Linked DNA regions of Caenorhabditis elegans. The protein of the gene in region 1 interacts with the protein of each later gene in a biochemical or structural test. Each region holds a gene or a part of one and is shown in the gene's direction. Other genes may lie near its edges.

Evidence for each region.
Region 2: the proteins of lev-11 (region 1) and unc-27 interact in far-western blotting, tested with the Caenorhabditis elegans proteins (one study listed by BioGRID).

Annotation. Positions count from the first base shown.
Region 1 is NC_003279.8:14,627,067-14,634,149, reverse strand, and holds the start of lev-11 (Tropomyosin isoforms a/b/d/f), read left to right. Parts: upstream 1-3,055; 5' UTR 3,056-3,190; coding exon 3,191-3,235; intron 3,236-3,370; coding exon 3,371-3,508; intron 3,509-4,208; coding exon 4,209-4,265; intron 4,266-7,083. UniProt on the Caenorhabditis elegans protein: Tropomyosin, in association with the troponin complex, plays a central role in the calcium dependent regulation of muscle contraction. Involved in muscle actin filament organization and muscle arm extension and morphology.
Region 2 is NC_003284.9:8,786,390-8,791,414, forward strand, and holds unc-27 (Troponin I 2), read left to right. Parts: upstream 1-3,066; coding exon 3,067-3,216; intron 3,217-3,267; coding exon 3,268-3,539; intron 3,540-3,619; coding exon 3,620-3,761; intron 3,762-3,816; coding exon 3,817-3,946; intron 3,947-3,993; coding exon 3,994-4,028; 3' UTR 4,029-4,232; downstream 4,233-5,025. Other genes in the region: ZK721.3 (G_PROTEIN_RECEP_F1_2 domain-containing protein), read left to right, coding at 287-410.

The DNA of each region.
Region 1 (7,083 bases):
GTGTGTGTGTGTGTGTGCACTAGTGGAATAGGAAGAAGAAGAAGCACAAAAACATGAGCATTTTTTCGAAAAAGATATGTACGAGAGAACACATGGGTGTTCTCATTTGACGAGTATATTGAAATTTGGAAATTTTATTAAGGTACTACCGTAAATATATACACATGCATATGAATGAATATACATTAACAGAAAACCGGAAAAAGAAAAATGTACACTGTTTTCGATATTGCTAAAAACATCAAAAATCCCCATATCCGTTCAAAAACAATATTGTGTTATATTGTTTTACAGTAATGAAATTGGAGGCAAACTGTCCCCAACTACCGGATTTTGTAATGAGACGTCTTGAAAACTTCTCATTACGAAATTCGGTCTTTTTGGGGCATTTTAGTCTAATAGAGCAAAAATTGACTTATTTAAATATTAAATTATTAACCTGAATATATACTGAAATGGAACACCGACTTAAAATAAAAATTGATTATAAGGATTTTGTTTAAGTATTACCGTAAATATATTCAGTAACGGAAAATCGAAAAATGGAATGTGTACACTATTATAGTAAATTTTGATACCGTTAGATAACAATTGCATGTTCAAAAATTTGTATTGAAAAAATTACTAAACCTGACAAAAATTGAATATATACTATATTATACTGTATTAGAACTGTTATTGCTATATAGCCTCTAATGGGAAATGATTATTTGCTATGGTAAATATCCGGAAAATTTTAAGTTTTTTTTTAAAAAGCGTAGCTGAGTAGTAAAGCTTAATGAAATAATGCAGTAAATACGAAAAATGCTAAATTCAGACAGAAAACCACAGTCTTCAGGAAATTTCGGCTGACACTACTTATTTTCATTAACGTTCAATTTACGATAGCGTGCAAAAAGTAACAATATTTCCTCTAGCCTTATGTAGACTAGAAGTTATGGTAATCACGTTTGATATAAAATTGGGTTGAAGTACTTAATTTTGCGAACTTATCTGAAAATTGACTAATCCGTCAATGCATAATTATAGTAAATATGTCATTTTGAACATTAATTCGGATAGAATGAAATTTAGAAAAGAAGTGTCTTTTCTTTTCCGACACATCCAATACGAACAGATATTATATAACGAGGTCCCCCTAGTCATATTACATGCAAGACTAATCGATAGGAAATAGTGTAGCAAGTAGCTGGTACTATTCATGGATCTATTTTTCATCACCATTATATAATCGTAATACATACATACATGCATATATACATGATCACGAATCTTAGTTGACATTAAATTATCACGACTTATTTAGAAATACTGTCTATGATAAATAGTTTTAACAAGTATTCTCCTACAAAATCATTAAATATAACCCTAAATTCAAAATAAACCACTACTATTATACCTCTTCCACATAATCCACTGATATTATCAAACAAGTTGCCCTCTTGACAATAAACTCTCGAACGCCAACTGTTTCGAATGTTTTGTCGTCGGCTGGATGCCACAATTGCTTCTTTTCGGGGATAAGAAGAAGAGCATATACACACAAGTAGTATTGGATTCTAATGTCAGGATTTCAAAAACTGAGACTCTGATCATTGACCGACTTTTGGGAATCTGAGATAAAAAAAAAGAACAATAACAAAAAAAAGTTTAAGGGAAGTAAATGCGTTTCTATGGATAGTGGGTAGGGCTGTACAAATCGGCGTCCGGTCGTCCGATTTTGACACCACCGGACGCACATGCGTCCGGTTGGGGGTAGCTATCCACGACGGCCGACAACTTCCGAGTTTCGCCACTCACTATACTTAATCAGCAATTTTATAGTGAGTGGCGAAATTCGGAAATTGTCGGCCGTCGTGGATAGCTACCCCCAACCGGACGCATGTGCGTCCGGTTCGAACTTCGGACGACCGGACGTCCGGTTGTACAGCCCTAATAGTGGGTAAAGAGAAATGGAAAAATATGGGAATGTATGAAAATTGGAAAGATGAAATGTGGTACTTCTTATTGTAAAATTAGACACTAATCAAATTCCGGAGAACAAAGCTATGTAACATGGCACTGTAAAAACTGAGCTTGTCATATTTTTTAAAATTCAGTTTTGATTGTTCAGTTTTCTTTAAAAATTCATTCATGAATAGTTACAGTAATAGGATATCTTATATCACGTGTGCATTAGTGTTGCAACCCTTTCCATAAAGTTTCAAGGTTCTTAAAAAAAGGTTCAACTGGAAAAAAACCATACTTGTAGCATACTCTTTCGTAGTGTAATATTACTAGGGAAGCCCAGATTTATGATATCTGTTCATATTGGATGTATGGTGAAAGGCAATATGATTTCGTTATGTTAGGCTTGAAGGCTTGTTAATAGGCTTTAAAAAAGGCTACCAGTAATGTTAATGTTAAGGTTGAAGCCTTGTTAGGCCTCGAAAATGAGACACTTATTTTTTAATTTTAACTCCATTAATGTTCAAATTTAAGGATGTCCTTAAAAATGTAACTAATTTTAATGACACCATTACTTTAATAATTTATTAAAGTTTTAGTCAATCTTGAGTTAAATTTTCGAAAATTTTGCAGCAATTTGATTTTACATCACTTATGGTTATTATTACTAACAGTCTAGATATATAAGAAATATCGTTACTATTTGTACGATAACGTAATTAACAATCAAATTGATAATCGTTTCAATTTTTTAATGTAAAGAGGCTCAGAACGGCTTTTGCCACGTCATCAAGCGACCACGCGAATATCGGTCCTGGAACACCATACCACCTTACTAATTATGTGGTTTTTTTTTAAAGTTTTGTTCCTTTTTCCATTCCACGAGAAACCCTTCTTCTCCCCAATCATCATCTTTTCCATCTGCCATCGGCTCTTGCTCTTCTCCCCACAATTCCCGTTGCTCCGTGTGTGCTGTAATATGCTCCAGGGGGGTGGGTGGGCAGGGATCCCATAGGCATAGGTCTCCACGAAATCAATACTATCTAATCATCTGCCACACCCCCGTCTGATGTTGTGGAGGAAGTGAGAAGAGAGAAGAAGAAGAAGAAGAAGCGGGGGCTCGTGTGGGAGGAGTCTCGTGAAGACGGGAACCTGAAGCTAACGGGAGAAGAAGAATCATTCTCCCCTCCAATTTGAATCGTCGATACTCCGTGTGTTTCAACACAACAACAAACTACCAAAAATGGACGCCATTAAGAAGAAGATGCAGGCCATGAAGATCGAGAAGGTTTCCACACTTTTTTTAAATTTTAATACTGTTTTATAGTGAATTTCTTCAACTTTTTCAATTTTAAAATTAGTAGTGGTCATATACATTCCAATATTTTGAATTTTTCCTCAAAACCATATACACATATTCTAGGACAACGCTCTCGATCGTGCCGATGCCGCTGAAGAGAAAGTCCGTCAGATCACCGAGAAGCTCGAAAGAGTCGAGGAAGAGCTCAGAGACACCCAGAAGAAGATGACTCAGACCGGAGACGATTTGGACAAGGCTCAGGTATGGGTTTAAGCCAGAATTTAGGCTCTTTGCGTATATTTTATCGATTTTAAGACCCCATATAAACTGGCTTCCTAAATTTTCGCTTAGATCTTGGTTTGATAAGACTTTAAGCTATCAGATTTTTACCAGGAAGCTTAAAAATTCATGAAAATCGCAGGAGTTTCTAGAAGTTCCAAAATATTGTCTAGCTTCTACTTTGATACCATATATAATTAGCGTATTATTAATACCTACTTTCTCAACTTAAAGCCGCTATCCCGGAAGATTTTGGCCTGAAACTGAGCAAAGTTCTGAAAAGCAGAAGTTGAGCTCTAAATTTCCTAATTTTTTGGAATCAAGCTTTTACAATACCTTATATATAGCGAATTTTGATTACAGTCCGATTTCAGAAAACAAAATTTTTTAGAGACACTGGCGCTCAAGTAACCTATAAAATCTTAAAGTATAACTAAAAATCACCCTAAAAACAAAATTCGAAATTCATAGTGCAGGGTGCTCAATTTGTAACTTTTAGCCCTAAAAATTTAACCTGGAATCTAAAATTTACCTAGGACACCACTAGAAATCAAATTCGAAGCTCATGGTGCATCGTCCACCTAGGTCTACCTGTCTCCCTGGGCTTATGCTCCTAAGCTGAAACACTTAGGCTTAAGCTAAGCTAAAAGAATAAGCTCAAAATCAAACTTCCATTTTTCAGGAGGACCTCTCCGCCGCCACCTCCAAGCTCGAGGAGAAGGAGAAGACCGTTCAAGAGGTGAGTCGACTTTCTTTTTAAAGCCCAATCCGGGCAGCTTTTGGTTTCTAAACCGACTTCAGGTATTTCCAATTCCCAATCCACAAGCACAACGACCAGGTTTGTGGCGCGATGTTCAAAGTCAATTAATCCGTTAATTAGTCAGTGAGTAGTTGGAATGAAGAGAGAGAGATACATACATATATACAGCTAGTTTTCCATTCCTGTCCTTTTGGGCATGAAAATGAGTGAGAGAGGGTGACGTTGATGATGATCCGCGGTTTTTTTCTCTTTTCCACCCTCTTTCTCTCACTTCCCATAGGCTTCTTCCCCCACCGGGGTAGCTATTGTTTTGTGTGTGTGTGTGTGTCTTCTTTTTTCAATAATGTTCATATATATATATATATATTGTTTCTTCAAATGTTTGGTATACATTGTACTGTATTCAATCATGATTCACTTTTTTCATTCCGTCGAGAGTCAGAGATAGGGTACTGTAGAAATCCTTCTTTCCCGAAAAAGACTTGATCAGGGTGTGGCTGTTATCTAGTTAGCATGTTATATAACATTATGTAATGATGTTCAAACCAGATTGGCATCACTTTTAGCTCGGTTTTCCAGATTTCCCAATTTTGTAAGTTGTCATTATACTGTTTTATTGAAAACTGATTGTGAGCAAAAAGTGTTGTCAATTTATGTAATTCCCTTTAGTCATTGCTATACGTTCTTGAAAAAATTTTGTTGGCTTAAAACATTCTTAAGCTCCGGCCTTAGCCAAATTTTGCAAGGCTACTTTTCAATATTTCGGAAAATTCTAAGTGGTGCCATGTGATATTTAATTTTCTAGCTTAACAAGCTATTAGTTTTCAAGTACTGATCCTAAAAATTTAAAGCTTAGAGCAGTGGCATTTTTTTTGGAATTTCACTAGTCTGGCGGTAACTTTAAGCGAATGTGATCTATTAACACGTGGTGCCAGGTTGTCTCATTGAAGTTTGATCTACAAAAAATGTGGGAATTTTTAGTCAGCACATTCTTAGCCATGCGAAATCAGTTAAGAACTGTGCGTCTCTTCTCCCGCATTTATGTAGATCAAACCGAAGTGAGCCACTCTGACACCACGTGTAATATAATAATCCAGCAGAATTCAAATTCCTCGTGGTGATTTTTCATGCATTACTTTTCATAGTCTTCGAAAAAAATGCTCAATATTTCCAACTTCGGAGTATTTCAAGTGTATGTTAAGCCTATTTTGAATCCCACGCATCACCGAATTTATCTAGATTCCTAGAATATCTACAGTGCATTTTTTTCCACTTCTCCAACTTTAAAGGAGGGCGCATTTATACGAAATGGTCCCGCCACGCGGCCCAAAAATCAATGCGTGGCGGGACCATTTCGTGTAAGTGCGCCCTCCTTTAAAGCGGTAGAAGTGGAAAAATATCAGTGATTTTTAGGAAAAAAACCTTTTTTTGTCGAGAACTTTTTTCCCTCTCCCGACGTTTTTTTTGCACACAACTTGGCGCGCCGAAATCCAATTTCTTTGCGAAAAGCTCAATCCCATTTTCCGTTACTGCTCAAATGAGCGAGAGGCGAAGAAGAAGAAGAAGATAAAGTTCGAGGAGTGTATGAAGTGCTGTTGGGGGCTTCCTTCCCCTGCCTGCGCCATTGTCTAATCTCTAAGTCTCTCTAGCTTCTCTCTCTCTCTCAATTTCTTCTCTTCCAACTGATTACAACGAGATGTTTGCTTTACAACAACTCCTCCCCGCCAATAGGCTCCCGAGGGCTCACTGAGCATCAACGGGCGGCGCGGCGGGAAAGAGAGAGAGAGAGCATCTCCCCCGCAATTTCAAGAAACGAGGAGAGCTGTGTGATCGGCTTCTCGGCATTTTTCAAGGGGCAAGTGAATGGCATGTCAGTTGAAATGGAAATAAATGAGAATAAATGAAAGCGCACACACCAAAATAGAAACTACAGTAGTGCCTAATGGGTCTCGCCACGATTTTCGTAAAAATTCTAAAATTCCTAGGATTTTCTTCCGAGAACTAGGCAAATGCGCTGCATTTTCAAATTTTTTAAAGGAATTTGCAGGGTCTTAGGTACTAATTTCTAGGGGTTTTATTTGACATTTTCAGGCGCTTATTGCGGAATTTCTTACTTTTAGTGTCAGGCTGTCCCATTACTGTTTGATCTACAAAAAATGCGGGAAATTTAGAAAGAAATTACAATAGTACCGAGTAGGTCTCGCCACGGCAAGTAGACGCAAGTTTTGACTCTTTTTGTGTAAGGTTTTCGGTGGAAACTACTCTACAATTCCCAGGGTTTTCCCTCAGATTTTGGTTCTCAGATACAAATTTCTAGGGTAGGCCCTTAATGCGAAAATTCTTACTTTCGGTGTCAGGCTGTCCCAATACTGTTTGATCTACAAAAAATGCGGGATTTTTTGTGACATCAGCACGTTTTAACCATGCAAAATCAGTTGAGAAGTCTGCATCTAAATCCCCGCCATTTTTGTAGATCTAGGTAGATCACACCGAAATGGGACGTGCTTTTGAAGGGCAACTTTTGAGCGCCCAAAAGTTCAAAATTTTGGGGAATTTTCCCGCCTAGCTAACAATTTTTCCTGAATTTCCAAGTTTGTTCGGCCAGTGTTCCCAGTTTACAAAACTGGCATTGAACTGTCATTCAGCTCAAGACCACCTACCAATTAGAGACACCTTCGGTACATACACCCCAGTCAGCCGGTTTCCCGGTCTCCATCTCTACCACAATTTGAATAGAACATGTAATTCGGGTAAATACTCGACGTCTTTTCTTCCTCTCTCTCTCTCTCTCTCTCTC
Region 2 (5,025 bases), on another chromosome or scaffold:
ATGCGGCTTGTTTTTATTGTTTTTTTGTTTTTATAGTCTTAGTATCTCTCTATTTTTAGCCGATTTATTGTTTTAAGTGACTGACATTATTTTAAGACTCCAGAAATAAATTGGAAATTTAATCTTCTGTAAGCACGTTTATGAAAAAAAAAGTCGTACTAATATATTACCAGTTTTTGATGCTTGATTGTTTGTATTTGCTGTGTATATAAAACGTGTTTGTAGAACAGTGTTGAATTTTTCACTGGTTTATTTCCATTATCCTCTGGGCAATTTTCAGTTTCAGATCTTATTCATCCAACTCAAATGTTTTTCGCAGCAGTGCAACAAACTACAATTGCGACACGGGGCTTCTTTTGGATAACGAAATTGACACAGATGCTGAAGAAGAAGAAATTGCCTATCTCTGATCCTTGATCTTAATTCATTTCTCACTTCTTCCGAATTCATGCTGCCTTAACTTTTTTAACAACTGACTGATCACGTCAGTTGTTGTTTGTCATGTTCAATTCTCCTAATTGTGCACGCTGTCTGCCATTGAATTGTAATTGGTGAGAGGCAGATGGGAACTTATAACGAGTGAAATAGTATCTCAAAATTATGGTAAAACGATAAACATAGACAATGTACAATTTCAGTTTGGGTATTAACAAAATTGAATCTCTATTTTTTTTTTAAATTTGATATCAATATTAATTTACATCAAATCTCATATCTCATGCTTACATTGTTAACCTTTTGCTATCCATTTTTCACAATAACATTTTCATCTGGTTTTAAAGATTTTGCAATAAATCTCTTTTGTAAATTTCACAAAGCAGCTTAAATTGTAAACAATAAAAATATTTTGATATCCTGCTTTTAAGTGATCAAACGTACATTAATATTACTTTTTGAACGAGGAGTTGTCGATACGTATTGAGTGAGCGTATTGTTTATACAAACTTTTTTTGAAGTTTTGACAACAAACCGATATAAATTTTTTTAATCATACTGTCACTAACCAAGAACGTATAAATGCGCTCTTGATAATAATAAAGATCCGAAATGAGTAAAATAGCACTCGCACATTTTTCCTTCTCTCACTTATACTTGTCCAAAATAACCAAATGTCATAATTTAACACTCCTAGGATTTTTGAATTTCTAAAAAATTTTAATGCGAAGCTGTGGTGAATTTTGTTTACGGAAAGTTTGAGTTTTTAGGATAATTTCGAGAATTTGTGCAAGCTCCAACACCTACTTCCAATACATACAACTGAACAGGGATTATGTGATCAAGTTCCAATATTACTTTATTTATACCCAATTTAGCTCATTATTAGTTATACCTCACTGAGGACACTACTTCTAATGAAAATTATTCCTTGATAGCAATCAAGAAATAATTTTCTAAAAGTAAAAAATTGTAAGCTGTAAAAGTTCGGTAGTGCCAATTAATTTACCCATATGACAACCGCTCATGTATAATAATATTTCGTAACACTTGTGCCCCCACTACTGCTCAACGTTTTTAACCAAAACATCATCATCGCCTCCATCAGCTATTTTTCTGTATCTTCTTCCGATGTTTCTCTTTCTCTATATACTCGTTGCAATGAACAATGTATCAAAAGAAAGATAGAGCTTGCCGCATCAGAAGAAAACAGTGTAAACTATTCGGAGATTGGCAGAAAAGCGTGATAACACAGTTGAAAACAATTCAAGATAAGAATGTGAATGTTTATGGAAAAAAGTGTTAAAAATAAACAGGACAATAGATCGGTTTAATCCATCACTACTCCATAAACTAAAATGGGTGTGAAAATAGTTACAGGGAATTGGAATTTATTTACAAGTTTCGGGTTGTTATTTACCATTGTTGGAAAATGTAGATTTTTCTCGTTGTGATCTGATTTTTGAATGTGTGATTTTTTTAATGATTTAGATTCACTTATTTTATAGTCTTGTCAAAAATAACTACTTTATGATAACAACTGATAAATTCAATTTGAAAGTAATAATATTCAACTTTTTGTGATAACTAATGATGATTTGCATACCCAATTTCATTATCCCCGCTATCTTTTTTCTTTATCACTTATCACAAATCTCAAACATCTGCCCACACCTCGCAACACTTTCAACTCATGGTCCCTAACATATTGAATTTCAAGAGAGTCTCACCGGCCACCGTGACTATTTTTATTGTATTTTTCCACACGTCACACTTGTCAGCTTGTCAATTTTTTTTTAGGTTTTTTTGTTTTCTGACCTACTCAAATCCTACGTGACAGCATGAAATTATGGAACTGAAAGAGAAATGGTTGAAAACAAAACACTGTGAAAAAATAAATAAAATTATTCTTGATTCTGATGAAAAATGTCATGTTCCAATTCACTTTTGAAACAATTTATCCAACAAATATTTACAGATCTCACTAGCGAGCCATGTCACAACTACAAAAAAGCAATCGAATTGATGAACTCAGTGACACCGTTGAAAAATCAGTATGTTATTTTAAAAATTGTTTAGGTATTTTTAGTAGTACGATTTTGATTTTTGATCACATATCTTCTTTTTGAAAATACAGAAAAACTACAGACTAGCTTCATAAATTGTTCGGAGCCCCATTCACCGAATAGCTCATAACTTGACCCACTGCCCCATCTGAAACCAATATCTTCTTGCCGCGTTCCGTTGGTTTTTTCCACTGAAGTTGCCACAGCTCTATCCCTATCTCTCGCTTGTCTTCAATCAATCTCGGCCAACGCAATTGGTAGGCAAGAATCATTACAACAAGCGGGAGACGTGTTGGAAAGAGCATCTGTCTGTATGGCATTGTCCGAGAGACCCAAAGATACAGAATTGGAGGGCGGGCGGTTTGTGGGGCGGCTGTTGCCAACTCTAGGTACCTCTCACGAGTTGCGACATCTATTGGCAGGATACTTCAGATTTCAATTCACAAGGCCTTCGGATGCATGATCAGGCTCGCCGCTAATTTGTTTTATGCTCATTCAAAAATTATTCATTTTGTGAATTTAATCTTCTGTTTTGTGATACTTGTACCCCAAACTAAAATTTCAGATGAGTGAAGAAGCCGGAGAGGACGCCCAGCGCAAAGCTGCCGAGCGCGAGGCCAAGAAGGCCGAGGTGCGCAAGCGTCTCGAAGAGGCCGGAAACAAGAAGAAGGCCAAGAAGGGATTCTTGACACCAGAGCGTAAGAAGAAGCTTCGTGTAAGTTGTGTTTTTGGAACACTTAAATGTTTAACTTATTTTTGATTTCAGAAGCTTTTGATGGTCAAGGCCGCCGAGGATCTTAAGAGACAACAATTGCTTAAGGAGCAAGAAAGACAAAAGGCTCTTGCTGACAGAACCATCTCACTTCCAAATGTTGACTCCATTGATGATAAGGGACAACTCGAGAAGATCTACAATGACCTCTGGGCTCGTCTTACCCAGCTCGAGGAGGAGAAGTACGACATCAACTACGTCGTCTCCCAGACTGAGGCTGAGATCAACTCCCTCACTATTGAGGTCAACGATCTTCGTGGAAAGTTGTGAGTTTTTATCAGTTTTTGATGAATTTCCCATATATGTAAAATCATCCAAAGTATTGATTTTACTTTTTATTTTTCAGCGTCAAGCCTTCACTCAAGAAGGTGTCGAAGTACGACAACAAGTTCAAGAAGAGCGGTGAGAGCAAGGCCGGAACCAAGGAAGACTTCCGTGCCAACCTCAAGATTGTCAAGAAGGACGTTATGGAGGCCATCGTCAATGTTGTAAGTTTTATCTGCAATGTTCGAGAATTTTGATAAACAAATATTTCAATTTCAGAAGAAGAAGGACGACAAGCCAGATTGGTCCAAGAAGAACAAGGATGCCAAGGCCGAAGACTCCGCTCCAGCTGCCGTTGCTCCAGAAGCTGAGCCAGTTGCAGAGGAAGCCGAGGCTGAGCCAGAAGCCGGTTTGTCAAAAATGATTTAGATTTTCTCGATAACTGAAAACTTGCAGAGGAAGAGGAAGGAGAGGAGGAGGAGGAGGAGTAAACTCCTAAATCCATCACTTCAATCCTGCTCAACATCATCCAAATCGACGTCATCAAACCGAACAACCCCCCTCCCCAAAAAAAAATATGCCAACATCAATATTCTGTAGTTTGTAAAATACTTTTTTACCATTTTATTCTTCCTTCGATGGGTCCCGGAAATTTAAATGTCAACAACGTGTGTGCTAATAAAATCTTGGTGGTCAGACTTGTGTGTTTGAATCCTTGAAGAAATATGAGAAGGAAGTGTGAAGTGTAGTAGGGAGTGTCTGGTTAAAAGTGATAAGTGAAGGAGAACGTGGGAGGAAAACATGAGAGGATCACTCTCCTGGGCTCTAAGAATAGTGCGAATAATTTTGGGACGCTTTGACAAACTCATTTGTCAGATAACGTTTCAAAAAGTATTTCAAATATTTTTGACACAATTTTGAAACACTCACAACATTCAACACCACAGACGCCAAAAAAACTGTTCTTGCAATTTCAAAATTTCGATCAAGTTTCCATCTGTTGAAAATTGATACATGAAAATATCTCTTTTAATTGTGCAGAACTTAATCAGCAATATTCATATTCACAGTTTAGCTGTTATGATACAATGCTGCAGTAAATTTGAAGATTATCGTGATCTATGGAGAAAATCAAGGGAAGTTGATAGCTTGGAAAAGCAAACAGGAGAGCACATTTCAATGAAAAGTCAATAGTTTTCCAAAAGTACTGTACTAGTATATTACTGAGTCTAATAAACAAAAAAAAACTGGTATCAGACAAGTTTTTCCTATCAGTTTTCAAAGATTAATTCAAATCTAATTGGGGAACATTTTTAAGATTATTTAAATGGCAAAGTTTAAATGTTTTCATTAAACATACTTGATAAGTGTTAATGATCGTTCGGAAAGGTTTTTTTTGAACAAAACCGGTTGCCATGTGTGCTACGTGTGAAAGTTATGTTTCATCATTGTTCCTCACGCGTTGTCATCAGCAAAGATCTGCACCGT